Mytilus edulis: one gene and its partner. The protein of the gene in region 1 purifies or fractionates together with the protein of each later gene. This does not show direct contact. Links are inferred from orthologs where the notes say so. Each region holds a gene or a part of one and is shown in the gene's direction. Other genes may lie near its edges.

Region 1 (7,861 bases):
GTGTTGTATTTTGTCGGTCTTTTCTTCGTGTTTCTTCTGATATACTATCGACCCCTTGGTATCCTCTGTCCCTCTTAAAAGTTATAAATCTCACTGTTGAAGAAACCAATTAGGTAATTTTACAACGTTGGTGCATGAATGCGCTTAGTCGACTTGAACTTTGGCACTGACCACCTCCTCTTCTAGATGGTAAAGTCTACTTTTTTTTCCGAATAGAAATATTGGTTGTAGTTTTGTGTGTTTCCTCTACTTATAGTTAGAATCTTAATCCTATATTTTACACACTCGGCCGCTATCTAAAATCTAAAAATTTTAATGTGTAAGTGTTCGAATTACTGGATTTTATGTTTATTTTTCCTTTTAAATAACTATAACTAATCCTCTTCGTGTCGGTTGGAATATAAGGATGATATATACCAGTTATCTCCATTGCAATCCTTTCCATTCGGAACTCAGTAAGGTCTTTCCTATGCTTTTAATTTCAATGTCAATTGTCGTTTTGGTCTTTCTCTTGTTCGTCTACGTTCTGATGTTTTTGGTGATGTTATTCTTGTCTTTTCTTAAAGTGTGCCCTAGCCATCTAATCTCCTTTTATTTGTTTTGGTGGTCATCAGTTCTTTTTGTCCAATCTTTGCTGGCCAATATAACTTACAATTTTTCCTAATACATTTGGTGTGATTTTCAGAGAGTCTGAGCTCGCTTCTTCTTCTTCTTCTTCTTCTTCTTCTTCTTCTTCTTCTTCTTCTTCTTCTTCTTCTTCTTCTTCTTCTTCTTCTTCTTCTTCTTCTTCTTCTTCTTCTTCTTCTTCTTCTTCTTTCTTCTTCTTCTTCTTCTTCTTCTTCTTCTTCTTCTTCTTCTTCTTCTTCTTCTTCTTCTTCTTCTTCAAGTTTTCCAGTTTTCCATCTGAATAAATGAAGATTTTTAAAAGATAGTGAAGAGAACAGCATATGTAAGCTGATCTTTGAAAGAGTCGACTGTCTGTGCATTTACTACTGCGGTTGGTAAAAGATTCCATTGAGTTATTGTATATGGGAAAAAATGAAAATCTGTACGAGTCTTTTGATGTATAAATGTGTCTGAAGGTGTGAAAATGATGTTTTCTGGTTCTTGAGTCTGATGGGATGAGAATTGTGCTAGATAGTATAGCAACAAGAGGATGTGTGATCTTGTACATCATAACCAGGCGTGCACGCAGTCTGCGTTGTGTTAAAATGGGCCAGTTTAGTGTGTTCAGCATGTTTGATACACTGCTAGTATTATGATACCTGTTGCAGGCATACCGAGAAGCTCTCCTTTGGATCATCTCTATCTTCGAGATAGATTCTGAAGTGTGGGGGTCCCAAACTGAGCAAGAGTATTCGAGTTTGGGACGGACAAGTGCTTGGTATGCCTGGCTCTGGATGTTTTGATTTGCTGTTTTCAGGTTTCTTCGAAGGAAGCCGAGAGTTTTGTTGGCTTTCGATATATTGTCATCTATGTGTTTGTCCCATTTAAGGTTTGATTGTAATGTGATGCCTAAGTATTTAGCAGATGTAACAGTTTCTAAAGTATGATTGTGAAGAGTGTTATTATGTTGTAGAGGTTGACGTTTAGTTGTGACAGAGAGAACATTACACTTGTCTGGGTGGAAGGCCATTATCCAGTCCTCTTCCCATTTTGCAGCTGCGTCAAGGTCAGCTTGCAATTTTAGGCAGTCACTCTGGGATTTAACTGGCATGTATATGATACTGTCATCAGCAAATAATCTTAGTTTGCTATGTGTAAGGATGTCTGGAAGGTCGTTGATATACGCTAAGAATAAGACGGACCTAAGACAGTACCTTGTGGAACCCCAGAGGTGACTGGGACTGTGCTTGATGATCTTCCACCCAGAACAACTGTCTGTGTTCGATCGGAGAGAAATGCAGAGATCCAGTTTAAAGTGTTTCCATTAATACCAAAATATTGTAATTTGTATAGTAAGTGACGATGCGGTACTTTATCAAAGACCTTCGCAAAGTCCATTATTACAAGGTCTGTTTGAGTATTTGAGTTGTTTGTGGATTGAAGTTCTTGGATGAAGGAGAGAAGTTGTGTCTCACAAGATCGAGAGCGCCGAAAGCCATGTTGAAGGTTGTACAAGATGTTATTTGATATGAGATGTTTCATAATATGTGATGTTACTATGTGTTCCATTAACTTGCAGCAAATACAAGTTAATGAGATAGGTCTATAAGTGACCGGTTTATGCTTATCCCCCTTTTTATATGCTGGTGCGACTCTAGCGTGTTTCCAGTCGTTAGGTGAAATACCAGTGTTGTAGGATTTGTTAAAAATTAAGCATAGAATTGGTGCTATTTCTGTCTGCATTTCTTTCAGTAAGCGTCCACTGATGTTATCTGGGCCGGTGGCTTTATGTGGGTTGATCTTATTTAAGAGCTTTTCGATCCTTCAGTTTTTATTGATTTGATGTATTGAAAAAGTTTTTTTTAGGTTTGCTCTGATTTTGTATTTGAATGTCTGGTTCATTGATGGGAAGATCACATATGAGTTTTTCAATATATTCCCAGTAGGCCTTCCTTTGTTCTTTTTGTACCTGAGCTTTCATCTTTTTTTATATTTCTCAGTGTATTCCCTGTTTTTTTTTGCCTTTTGAAAAGTTTGTTTTTCTTGTTAATTTGACGTCTTTTAAAATTTATCAGATATCCACGGTAATCGGTGTTTGTTTCGTAGGATCTTTGATGGAATATGTTTTTCGACAGAGCTGATGAGTTTGGTTTTAAATAGTTCCCATAGCTCATTGGCGTTAAGAGAATCATAGTTGTCAATGATTGTTTTGTAGATGATACATATGTCAAGTTTAATTTCGTCCCAGTTGGCTTTGTTATACTTGTATACTTTTTGTGGGGTTTCTCTTATTTTCTTAAGCCAGATGTCTGCTTCGGCATAAACAATATCATGGTCGCTTGAACCTATTGGTGGTAGTGTGGTTACTTTGTTGATGTATGTTGGGTTGTTAATCATTATGAGATCTAGTATACGGTCATTTCTTGTTGGTGTATTGACAACTTGATGTAGGTTTGTGTCATTCATTATATCTTAGAGATTTTGGTGAAGTTGTATGTCAGGTTTGCATGGTATTGTGCTTGATGTTGACCAATCAATATGTCCCAAGTTAAAATCACCCCCACAAAGATGGTTGCATTTGATTGACTATTGATACGATTTAGAGATTGATGGAGTTGCTCTAGAGACAATCCTGTGTCAGATGGTGGTCTGTAGTAGGATGATATTAAGATGTTTTTCAGCAAGCGATATTGATTTCTGCCCAGACTACTTCACATTCAGTTTCTAGTTCTTTTACCTCTGAACTTATGAATTCTTTTGTAATTGCTATAAGTACACCCCCATAGCTTTGGTTGTTGGTACTTGGTGCCCTGTCATTGCGATACACATTATATAAATCTGATGGAAAGTGCTCGTAAGAAGAGGTGTTTGGTTCTAACCATGTTTCGGTACCTAGTATGATATCTGGTTTGACAGTATCAATAATTTCTAGTAGGTCCGGTTTTTTGTTTTTAATTGATTGAAAATTCATGTTTAGAATTTAATGGCATTTTGCTCTTTTTTGTTGTTGTATAAGCTTTTTCATGACAGGGAAGTTTGTGTGGAATTGGAGATGATGCAGCTGTTGGTGCACCTGGACTTCCTACATCTCTAAGACTGCTTGGTGAATTTATATAAGCTGTCATATATATTTGATGTTTCTAAGGTTGTAAAGTTAAAGAAGCTTGAGCTAAAATTTGGCATACCACATTGTATACAGTGCCAACTTATATTACTATTATTCATTATGTTGTATATTTGGTTTGGTATTCCTTGGCAATCGATGTGGTACCAAGTTTCACAGGAGTCGCAGCAGACAGCATGATGTTTCCATGTCACTGCCTTACTACAACTTCCGCAAGGCCACCTAGGTGAACGAGGGCCTGGGTTTGTTTCGGTGTCGAATGCATTTGCCAGTAATATAAGGAACAAATATTTATGAGCCTTTTAGGACTTTATTTATTGGTAAATTTACCAAGATCAGTTTCGAATTCTGGGGAGTAGAGGGTGTATCCCCCTTTTGTTAGACATTCGTTTGTTTTCACCATAAAATCATCCAAATTTCTGTTCACTTAGGACCTGAGATTATAATAGTTGTCTCAGCTTGGACATACTTCAGGCCGGAGTCCCTATTAACAGCGAAATGACAAGCATTAATGAATTGAGAGGCTTTGAAAAATATCTCGGTATTTTAAAAAAAAGTGCATTAGGCAGCTCTGTTTTATAAATAAACGATTAATTGATGTAAATTATCAATAAATGATGATGATAAGTAATTAAATTAAACAATCGTGCCGCTCTAAGTGTATGATTTTCTCTTATTTAAGTCAAGCTAATTTTTTGTGGTTCGCTTTGATCTTTTCAATTTTGAGTGTACATATACCTATGGTGAAATTTAATTGAGGCCACTGCATTTGAAATACAATCTTGCACGTATACTTTTAGTGATAACTACGTACCTTATTAAATTGATGATAAAAAACTGTTGTTATTATTTTTCAATGGTAGGAATTTTATAAAATGGGAAGAATTTTACAAATTAGCACTTATCAGGAAATATGTCTAAATATGACATGCAGTCAGTAGACTCACTGTGATTTAAAATGGAAATTTGTGTTTAAAAAAATATCATATTCACCTTTAAATACTTAATTCACGTCTTTAATAATGTAATTGATTCACATTGTGTTATCAAATTGTAACACATTCCTTTCATAAAAAGATTGTTCCTCATTGGTTGAATTGTCATTGAAATTATTTGTTTGTGACGTCAGATATGCTAATGAGATATGGGAGAGAAACATGGAGGACTTGTGATGATAGGGATTTATTTATGTTTTGTCAATGAAATATGCCCAAGAGACGGAGTGGGGGAGAGATCCCTCTTCCAGAAGGTTGGGAAGAATGCCGTGATTTTGACGGCAAAGTTTTCTTTATAGACCATAATACACATCAAACTAGCTGGATTGACCCGCGAGACAGGTAAGCAGTTTAAGTTTTGGAAGTTTTTATTTATTATGAACACTTCCTAGACTGCAAAACGATCAAACGATAGCTAGCATACTAGATTTTATCCGTAGAAAGTGTACGGTGACATGCATAATACGACGAGAACAGCTGTACTTCTGTAGTTTGTTGGCATGTGTTCGATAGTTCATGTTTTCAGGGGAAGTAACTCTGTAGAAACTAGAATTTAAAAATATTTTCTTAGGTCACTTCTGCATTTTAGGTTGGTGAATTATTGCCCAGTTATCACACCTTAATGATGCCAGTATATCCAGTTAGTATGTTATACTTCCAGGAATGAACTACTTGTCAGATCTTACAATTATTCATTTTTCTGTGTCAAATGTATACATGAGGGCCATTAAGGGGGTACCTTTATGATGAATAACAGTATAAATCCTTGTCAAATGATCATGATGTTAAGGTAATTTTTGGTGCATGACGAAAAAATGTGAACTTTCTTTATGACGATAAAAAATATATCGACTGATTTTGACGATTCAGGTTATTTTTTTTTCCAAATATATAACATTAACGATAATTATTTGAGACCTCTAATGAAACATGATAAGATCGTTGAAGAATCTCAGTGAAATTTAACCAATTTGCCAGTAAAGGGCATTCCTACCCTCATACATGTACATACACACCAATGCCGGGTATAACCATTCCATTAATTAAAGAATGTAGTGGATTATACATAATGTACATACATTTTGTAAATTCATATGCAGGCCACCATACATTGTAGATGTATGCATTTGACAATCGAAGTGGAAATAAAAAGATGTATTTGAAATCAGGAGAACTTTTAGCTAACATAACCTGATCGCTTGTAGACTCATGGTCCTCTAGACATGCTAGATCTGAGAATCTCCAAAAGACTTGAATTTTGAACCCTCATGGTTGACAAAATAAGCAAAATACAAATGTTGGAGGATTTCAAAAGGAGGTTTTTGTCACATTTTTTATAATCCTTTCTTAGGTGAGATGCAGATGAAAATATATGATTATAACATTGGAATTGTGGGTCTGCAGTGTGTGGTTGTCATTTTATCTGGGTGATCAACTCCTTTTGAAAACACTACAGACCAAACATTTTGACATTATTTAACACCTTGACTCATATTGATATTTCATGGTCAAATGTCCAAACTGTGACCATGCAGTTATCCATTCCTTTTGCTTAATTGAAGTTCATATAACTTTGTATGCATAATGTATATGGTTAACTTTTAATGGGATGTACAAATGTAAATTGTAACCATTGACCAAATCAATTTCAAGGACTGAAGGTTAGAGATCAAAGGTTATGATCGGTTGTGAATCTGTACAAATGTATATTTTTGTACACAAGTTGAATATATTTAATAGAAGAACATTTCCTCCAGAATAACTACTGTAACTGTTAAAGCCAGGTATTGAATTTTTGTACATGTACATATTAATGTAATTATTAGCCCCTTTAGTCTACCCCAGATGTCATTGGTTCCATTCTCTGCTATTTTTGGAAAGAATCTCATGCTCTGTAGTGTCATTTGGAACTGCAACTTGAAATTAAAAGACACATTGATTAAAAGAAATTTAAAGATTACATATTATATACATACATATATGTAGCTGGTGTTTGAAAATTGAAATTACAAGTTGTCATAATGGTTTATGTCAAAGACTTTTTATGGTTTGGGAAATGTGGTGCTTCCCTTAATCTAGTAGATAAGTAAAAGCTCTCCATTAGCTGCACCAAGAAAGTACTCCTTTTGTTAAGATATTAAAACTGTGCTATATATAACTAAACATACACAATGTAAGGGTCCTTAGTTGGACATGAATGTCTCTTTAATACAATAGAAGGAATCTCATGCTCTAGTTTTCACAATTACACATTGTACATTAAGTTAGATATTGATCACCAAGTCTATATTGAGGGATCAGAAATGGTTTGTTATCAATTAAAGCTAAACTTATGTCCATAGCCAAGATACCCCCATTTTCCAGTGTACATGGCAGTCCTATTCCCAGACCCTCATCTCGTTATAAGGCCACCATCACAGTACCTACCTATTATATATATTGTTATTTTTTCTTGTCCTGAGCATGCATAAAATATTTGCAACTGGACATTAAGCGAATTCTGTATAGTAAAAAGAAGTAAGTTCCAGGAGGAAGGAGACTTTTTTGAAAGGTTTAAAGTGACAATACTAAAAATCTTTATTTAAACTTTTTGCAGAATCTATTTGGCAATTTACTTGTTTGCAAAATTTTGTATGATGTAACAATTTTGTTTAAATGTATCTTCATGTCTAGATCTGTGGCAGACTGGCAGTCAAGTTATTGTACTGATTTTGTAGGCTAATACTGAAGGTTATCAATATGGGTCTTAACCTAGTACAATGACCGCAGTTCAAACCCAAATCCATTAAAACTACATGCAAAAAATTGTATTTGTTGCCACAGTGTACATTGTATCTTAATTTAAGGCTGGAATTGCTTTTTTTCATCTTTGATACAATGTATCTATTTCTGCTACACAAATTCTTGAAGTCACCATCATGTTTTAATAAAATTCATTTTCTTTAGTATTGATTGAATTTCAATACACATCAAATGCACATGTTCATTTTGTAATTAAACATGTTAAATGTAACATTAAAATTGTTGCAATCTGATTATAGAAATATCCTGTGATTAAATACATGTCCCTTTTAATACTGACATAGTTTGATATAACCCTATACTTATGTTGTGTTTATTCCATTCATAACTGTAT
Region 2 (7,155 bases), on another chromosome or scaffold:
TTCTGACCAATTATACTCTATGTACAACTAAATGGAAAACTAAACATACATGTTTTAAACCATAAACAATCTCAATTAACAGATTATTCAAAATCTTTTTTTCTCTGGTGGTCCTTCAAAAAGATCTGTTGGTCCCCACTATTATTTCTATAGTGAAATACCAAAATAAAGTTTATCCTTTGTAAGATTTTGGTGGTCAAAACTTTTAGATAATTTTTTTAAAAATCTGAATTAAATTTCAGTTTTCTATAAATACTTTAGAAAGGCCTTCTTCATCTTCCTTTTAAACGAACTTAATTTAAATGATGAAATCATGAGGCCTAAATTAATATATTGTTTGTTTCCCCATTCCCGACCCTGCCGAGCCAGGTGTTGGTAGGTAGGTAGGAAAATAATTTTATTTTTCCAAAAAGGTTGAACAATATCGTACAATCCGGCAAGCCAGGATATTGGAAATGAAAATAATATTTGACTTAGTTTTGACAATAAAATTTTATGAGTAGCACTGTTTTTGCAGAGTCGGTCGGGATGGGGGAAACAAACAATATTTTATTTTAGGCTTGAACCTTTCAAACACTACCTTATACTTTGTACATACAACTTCTTCCAAACTAATTTTAACAAAGCCTTTTGAAATTGTACAAGATAAGAAAATAATTTTGTGATTTTACTCATATGCAATATACACATATTTACGTGAATAACTGTGAAGTCCATCTGATAGGAGGAGTCTGTATCTATCTGCACTGGATCCTGCTGCTGTTATTTTCTTTGAGCTCTGCAGAATAGAAATGTAATTGATGAGAAGAAATGAAATCAAAATTTCAAAAATATATTAAAGTATTTAATTTATGATAAGACTAAGCAGCTCCTGAAAATCTGATTTACTCATTTGTCAAAATTAGTTTTAGAGATAAAAGACCAAAATTTGTCATCATACTAATTTCATTTATATTTCAGACTTTTGTTCATCCCAAGACAAAAACACTAAAGTTAAGGAAAGTAAACCAATATTTTGATGCATCAAAATGAAGAAATCACATTACATAATGTCCTATTCACAAATACAAAATAAATTTTGTTACATTTTCTCAGCCAATTAAGGGGAGACAAGTCAGAAAATTTAATGTTAATATTTATTCTAATCTTCTTATAGAAGAAATGTATATTCATGGAAAATGTGTAATAGATTAACCTATTTGACTTCCTTTTTGTTTTCTCTGGTGGATAGTTGCATTGTATCATTGGTAATCTTACCACATCTCAATTTTTTTGTAGATTTATCTAATACCTGAATATAGAACATTTTAATACATAAGAAGAGAAGTTATCAGTTGGGTTTTTTCCCACTCCCCTTTTGTAAATAATAAGACTGAGATGAAAGGGGAATGTGTCAAAGTGACAACCCGACGAAAGAGCATAAAAAAGCCTGAGACCACTAGTGTGTCTTCATACTTACAATAATCTGCAAGACAGGTCTATCAAAATTGTTTCCACCAACTATAGCCTACAAAAAGAAAACACACAAGACTTTATAAGTTATAGCACAATAGGATTTACAATTGCACGAAGGAGCTTAAGTTTATTTTTTAAGTCATTAAGATATTCATCCAAAAGTTTTCACACTGAGGAATTTTATCCAACTTGGATTGCTTTATAGAAAACAGTAAAAAATATATTGAATGACCAAAAGGCGATAAATTTTTTTGAGACATTTATTTATCTAAGTATATAAGTTTTACAGATATTGGAGTGACTGGAGTCTATGCATCATCCATGGTATAGATGATATTGTAACAAACCTAGGGTTACTATAAACTGTTTAACCATCATTCAGGAGGAGTGGAATCGACGGCAGTGTGAAGAAACAGATTTGTAATAAACATAACAATGATATTTATTTCAACAGTTTTTTGACTTCTTCTTTCAATATAATAAACATCAAATACACATTCATCATTCAACAGATAAAGCAATAAATCGGGTGGTCAATATAAAAGGTAGTTGACGGTTCAAGAGATTGATTCAGAATGACATGTGTGTCTACAGGCTCCTATTTATGTCTTTTGGCACTTACTATGACGTTAGAGTAAACATCTAATCATCCAATCAAAAGCAACGTTTCTTACGTCTTTTGGCTAGTAACGTTTAGAAAGACAAACAGATTTCGTTATTCTTAGATAAAGAAACATTATTAAGTTGTCCTCACTTTGTCCTTCTTGTCCGAATTATGTTTAAAAGCAAATGAAACTAAAAGGACATTTCTACATAATGCTATTTTTAAACGGACAGTAAATTCCTTTCTCGGTACGGCGTATGAACTTGGGTGTAATTTACATAACCTTACGCATTAGATATAATGCTTAAATAAGATCAATGAAAACCCTGTTCTATCATAAATAAAGACAATGTTAATGAAAAGGGAGGCACAAACATAATAAATACGCAAATTATCTGCATTGACAAAGTGTTAACTTAAACAAATGATAATGTGAGATCGCAAAGTGAAAGTACAAAACGGTGTCGTGGCAGATGTAAACAAGTTGAATCTCACGACGATATTTGTCAAAATAAATCACTGTATGACGGTATAATCAAAGTATTTCATAGGTAAACATTACCAAGATATACATATAAAACTGACCCTTATCGCTTGCAAAGTACAAATAGTTTAAATCATGAGTATGAAAGTCAATGCATTTATCAGTGTTTGTGCACTCGAGAGAAGTTGACCACCCGGCAATATTCAAATAAATATATGTCATATACAATAAATAATACGTTAAATAATAACAATAATAAGTCCAGATTTGTCACAATATCAACAGGATGAGCCTATTTACTTTAGCCCCCAGCACCATCTGATAATACTAGAGGTCACTCAAAACTTTAAAAAAAAACAGTGTAAGACAACACATAGACTGTCTAAATACTTTTCAATTAAGAGCAAGTATAATATGTAGACAGATTAAAGGAAGATGTGGTATGAGTGCCTAGATACATTAATATATTGTTATGCAATGATAATTTAAAAAAAATAAATTTTGTCCTTAATATAAATGTGGATATGATGCCTGAAGTCTTATATTTTCGCAACTGCATGGAGAACACTTTTTATGCAGATGCTGATATACATTTATTATATCTTTTTTATGAAACTAAAACTGTTTCAATGGCTATGGTTATCAGGGTTTTAATGCTTAGTTTTAAATTTAAACCAAACTCCTGCTTTTTACCCCCTTGTTTTAACTACGGTACATGTATAGTACTGCTTTATTTGCTGATGTATTATGTGTAACTCTTTTAATTTTGATTAAATTAATATATTAATCTGTGAAATCTAAGTCGTTTTTTTTACATTTTTCATTTTGATATTGTTTTTGAAAAACAATGCCTTTTGATGTCTTACATTTTATAAATCTTCCGCATAAACTGTGATCCATTATAATCAGTCTTTCGAAATTGTATTCATAAATTATATTATTGTTAAAATTGAAACATTCATACTTGTTTTATTACAAAAAAATTACTTGTCTAAAATTAAAAAAAAAATAATGTGCACAACTTATTTTATCAACACAAAGTTGCGCTATTTTTTCTTCCCCGGGCGCTTTTATTTACCCGGACACATTTTAGTAGGACCCATTGGGATGAATGAAATACAGCAATTATGATAAAGAAGCTTGCATCAATTAAATCAAGGACATATATGTCACATACGACTCCACAGCACAGCTGGTGTAGGCACATGTGTATCCGACATCAAGAATGTTAAATCTGACTTAAACCTAAAGTACACATCTCACCTAACGGTTAACTCTAACCATAAAGAGAAGGGACTCCCTCATCGGCGGACATCGCTTATAAGATCTATATTAAATTATACATTGTAACTGAAAGAAGGACATGATAACATAAAGTTTAAACAGGGATTGTTGAATGGTTATTCGCCTCTTCAAAATTTGATTAACCTCAATAGCACCCGATGTTAGATCTGGTGCCATTCTGTGTTGTTTTTCTGTGAAAGTGCTGTGACTGCTTTCTGCTTTATTTGCTGATGATTGCTTATTCCCGCTAAATATATAGCTTACTACGCATGCGTCAATTGTACCTCTTTTTCCGGTTTTTTAAATGCAATCATCTAAGCGCTTTACAAGAACGGTATTAGCAGTGGCTTGTAAAGCATTTCAAACTTAAATGAAAAATGAAAACATTGAATAAATGTGAAAGATGAAGATGAAAGGGATCGGTTATTCGTTTTATGAGCACCATGTAAAAGTGTTAGATTAGTCGATAGACTTATTAAACGCCGCAATGCCTTTTGTTAATATGAAAAAGGCTGCTCAGGCCTCAGGTAGCTCAAAAAGTTTTGCTGTGAAAGTGACAACAATGGATGCAGAACTTGATTTCACGACTGTGGAGGTGAATATTTCGAGCATTACTGTGTGTTATTGATTGATAAATCGTCTCTGACATGATATTTTGTAAAACTACTAAATTAGTTAAGTAATAGGAAACACATATATATCACACTGAAGTCAAATCACACATAATTTTATTTAAAAATTAGTCATTTCGTACCCAGATAGATGTTATCTGGTGTGTTCGTTCACCTGTAGAGTCTTTCACCTTCTTTCAGTTTCTGCGATCTCTGAGGCAGAGTTGTCTCCGTAGTTATTACTGAAAATTACTACTAGTCAACAATGAGGTTGTGAGTTGAACCCGGCTGGTACGGGTGTACTTATTCCAATCTTAATGGACTAGGATTGTCAGTTTTCCAATTGAAAGTCAGCGGGTTTTTCCAGGCACCTCAGCTTCTTCATCCAATAAAAACTTGCCACCACAAAATAGCTCAAAAGCTGTGTTTAAAAGTGGAGTGGTGTTAAAACATCAAGAGTTAAATCTTTCAGTTTCTAGCAATCCTTCAATTATTGAATAGTGTGTTGCCATGAGTTCGTTCTCTCTACTTTTATTGTCGAGCCTTCGACTTAAGTCGAAAAAGCGAGACTAAGCGATCATACATTCCGTCGTCGTCGGCGTCGTCCACAAATATTCACTCTGTGGTTAAAGTTTTTGAAATTTTAATAACTTTCTTAAAATATCCTCGGTTGGTACCAAACTTGGACAGAAGCTTGTTTATGATCATAAGATAGTATCCAGAAGTAGATTTTGTAAAAATAAAATTCCATTTTTTCCGTATTTTACTTATAAATGGACTTAGTTTTTCTACAGGAAAATATTACATTCACTCTGTGGTTAAGGTTTTTAAATTTTTTTTAATAACTTTCTTGAACTATCCTCGGTTGGTACCAAACTTGGACAGAAGCTTGTTTATGATCATAAGATAGTATCCAGAAGTAAATTTTGTAAAAAAAATAAATCCATTTTTCCGAATTTAAATTTTAAATGGACTTAGATTTTCTGCCAGGAAACAACACATTCACTCTGTGGTTTTTAAAATTTTAATAACTTTCTTATACTCTTTTGGATTTGTACCAAACTTGGACAGAAGCTTGTTTATGATCAAAAGCTAGTATCAGGAATGAAATTTTGTAAATGACTAAATCTATATTTTCATATTTTACTTTTAAATGGACTTAGATTTGCTGCCAGGAAACAACACATTCACTCTGTGGTTAAACTTTTTAAAATTTTAATAACTTTCTTATACATGTACTATTTTGGATTTGTTCTTAACTTGGACAGACAGAAACTTGTTTATGATCAAAAGCTAGTATCTAGAAGGAAATTTTGTTTTCTTCCAGTTAACATTACATTCAGTCTGCAGTTAAAGATTTTAAACATTTATAAGATTCATAAACTATCCTGGATTTTTACAAAACTTGGACAGAAGCTTCTTACAATCAAAAGATAGTATCAACAGGAATATTTCATTGATTTATTTCCTCATTTTTGTTGAGCCTGAGATTAACAGAAAGAGTAGGCAAGACACTGGGTTCCGCGGAACCCTTACAAATTTTTTTAATATATTTATACTAATGGCATTCAAGTTTAAGAAACTTATTCAGATATTGGTGTGGTATAAATTCTTGAAATTCACTTAAACATGTAAACACATGGACATATTGAAGCATTGATTGTTCAATGACATGCTAATAATTCTGACCCGTTCTTGTAATACTTGTCATTGCCTTTTTGGTGGATTTATAATTAAAAAGATGTTTTAAAAAATATGTCACCTGTTTTTCTATTAATACATATTAAACTTAAAATATCTACAATTTCAAGATAAAATATCTTGATTTGTTACTTCTCTATATATTTGAAGGCCCCCTTGAAGGTTTTGTAGGAGTAAATGAGCCATTTTGAACATAAAACCCACTTCGACATTTTGAAAAGTTGGCTGATATGCTTAGCAAATGAGTTGGGAAATATATATGCATACTTTAAGAAGTTTAGTAGTGGCCTCAGGATCATCAACGTTCAAAAAAGTAAAATCAATAATAAATAGGAAACAAAGATTCTTCTTTATTTCAGAATTAAAAAAAACAAACAAGCATTGACAAAATATGAAAAAAAGATACCTTAAAGTAATATAAAATAAACTTTTAATCAATGTGTAAGTACATACTAGACATACATTAAGTTTTATTCTATTTTTAGCACAAGGCTACAGGCAAAGATTTATTTGAACTGGTGTGTAGAACAATTGGTCTGAGAGAAACATGGTACTTTGGTCTGCAGTATGTTGACACGAAAGGATATATAGCATGGCTCAAATTTGATAAAAAGGTATTTTAATTAGGGCCCTGCGGAATGGCGAATGCCCTATAGTGATCATTCTGTACGTCGGTCTGTCCATAACAAATTGTGTCCACTCTATGTCTAGACAACTGTTATGATTTCAAAGTTTATACTTGACATGTATATTATACAACACCAGAGGGTGTGTCATAATTTATGTACAACTTCGTAGGTCAAAGATCATCATCAAGGTCAAAATCATCGGTTTCAGTTGACAACCCCATGTTTAATGATAAAGATACACATTTTTTACCACACATTATTCACAGCGGGCCCACAGAGATGGCTTCCATCTCAATGATATCTAGTTTGTTTTTTTCAAATTTTATGCTCTGTATCATCAAGCTAATTTACTCAATACAAAAATTTGACCAACAAGATATATTTTTA

Evidence for each region. Proteins that work in one complex are often made in the same cells at the same time.
Region 2: the proteins of protein WWC2-like (region 1) and merlin-like purify together in Drosophila melanogaster (affinity purification with western blotting; 3 studies listed by BioGRID). This does not show direct contact. The link is inferred for Mytilus edulis from reciprocal best matches to the Drosophila melanogaster genes kibra and Mer.

What each region holds. Positions count from the first base shown.
Region 1 is NC_092351.1:26,011,818-26,019,678, reverse strand, and holds the start of protein WWC2-like, read left to right. Parts: upstream 1-4,854; 5' UTR 4,855-4,936; coding exon 4,937-5,067; intron 5,068-7,861. UniProt on the Drosophila melanogaster protein: Regulator of the Hippo/SWH (Sav/Wts/Hpo) signaling pathway, a signaling pathway that plays a pivotal role in organ size control and tumor suppression by restricting proliferation and promoting apoptosis.
Region 2 is NC_092349.1:5,679,642-5,686,796, reverse strand, and holds the start of merlin-like, read left to right. Parts: upstream 1-4,135; 5' UTR 4,136-4,314; coding exon 4,315-4,422; intron 4,423-6,624; coding exon 6,625-6,753; intron 6,754-7,155. Other genes in the region: replication protein A 70 kDa DNA-binding subunit-like, read right to left, coding at 697-778, 1,460-1,507, 3,972-4,004. UniProt on the Drosophila melanogaster protein: Regulator of the Hippo/SWH (Sav/Wts/Hpo) signaling pathway, a signaling pathway that plays a pivotal role in organ size control and tumor suppression by restricting proliferation and promoting apoptosis.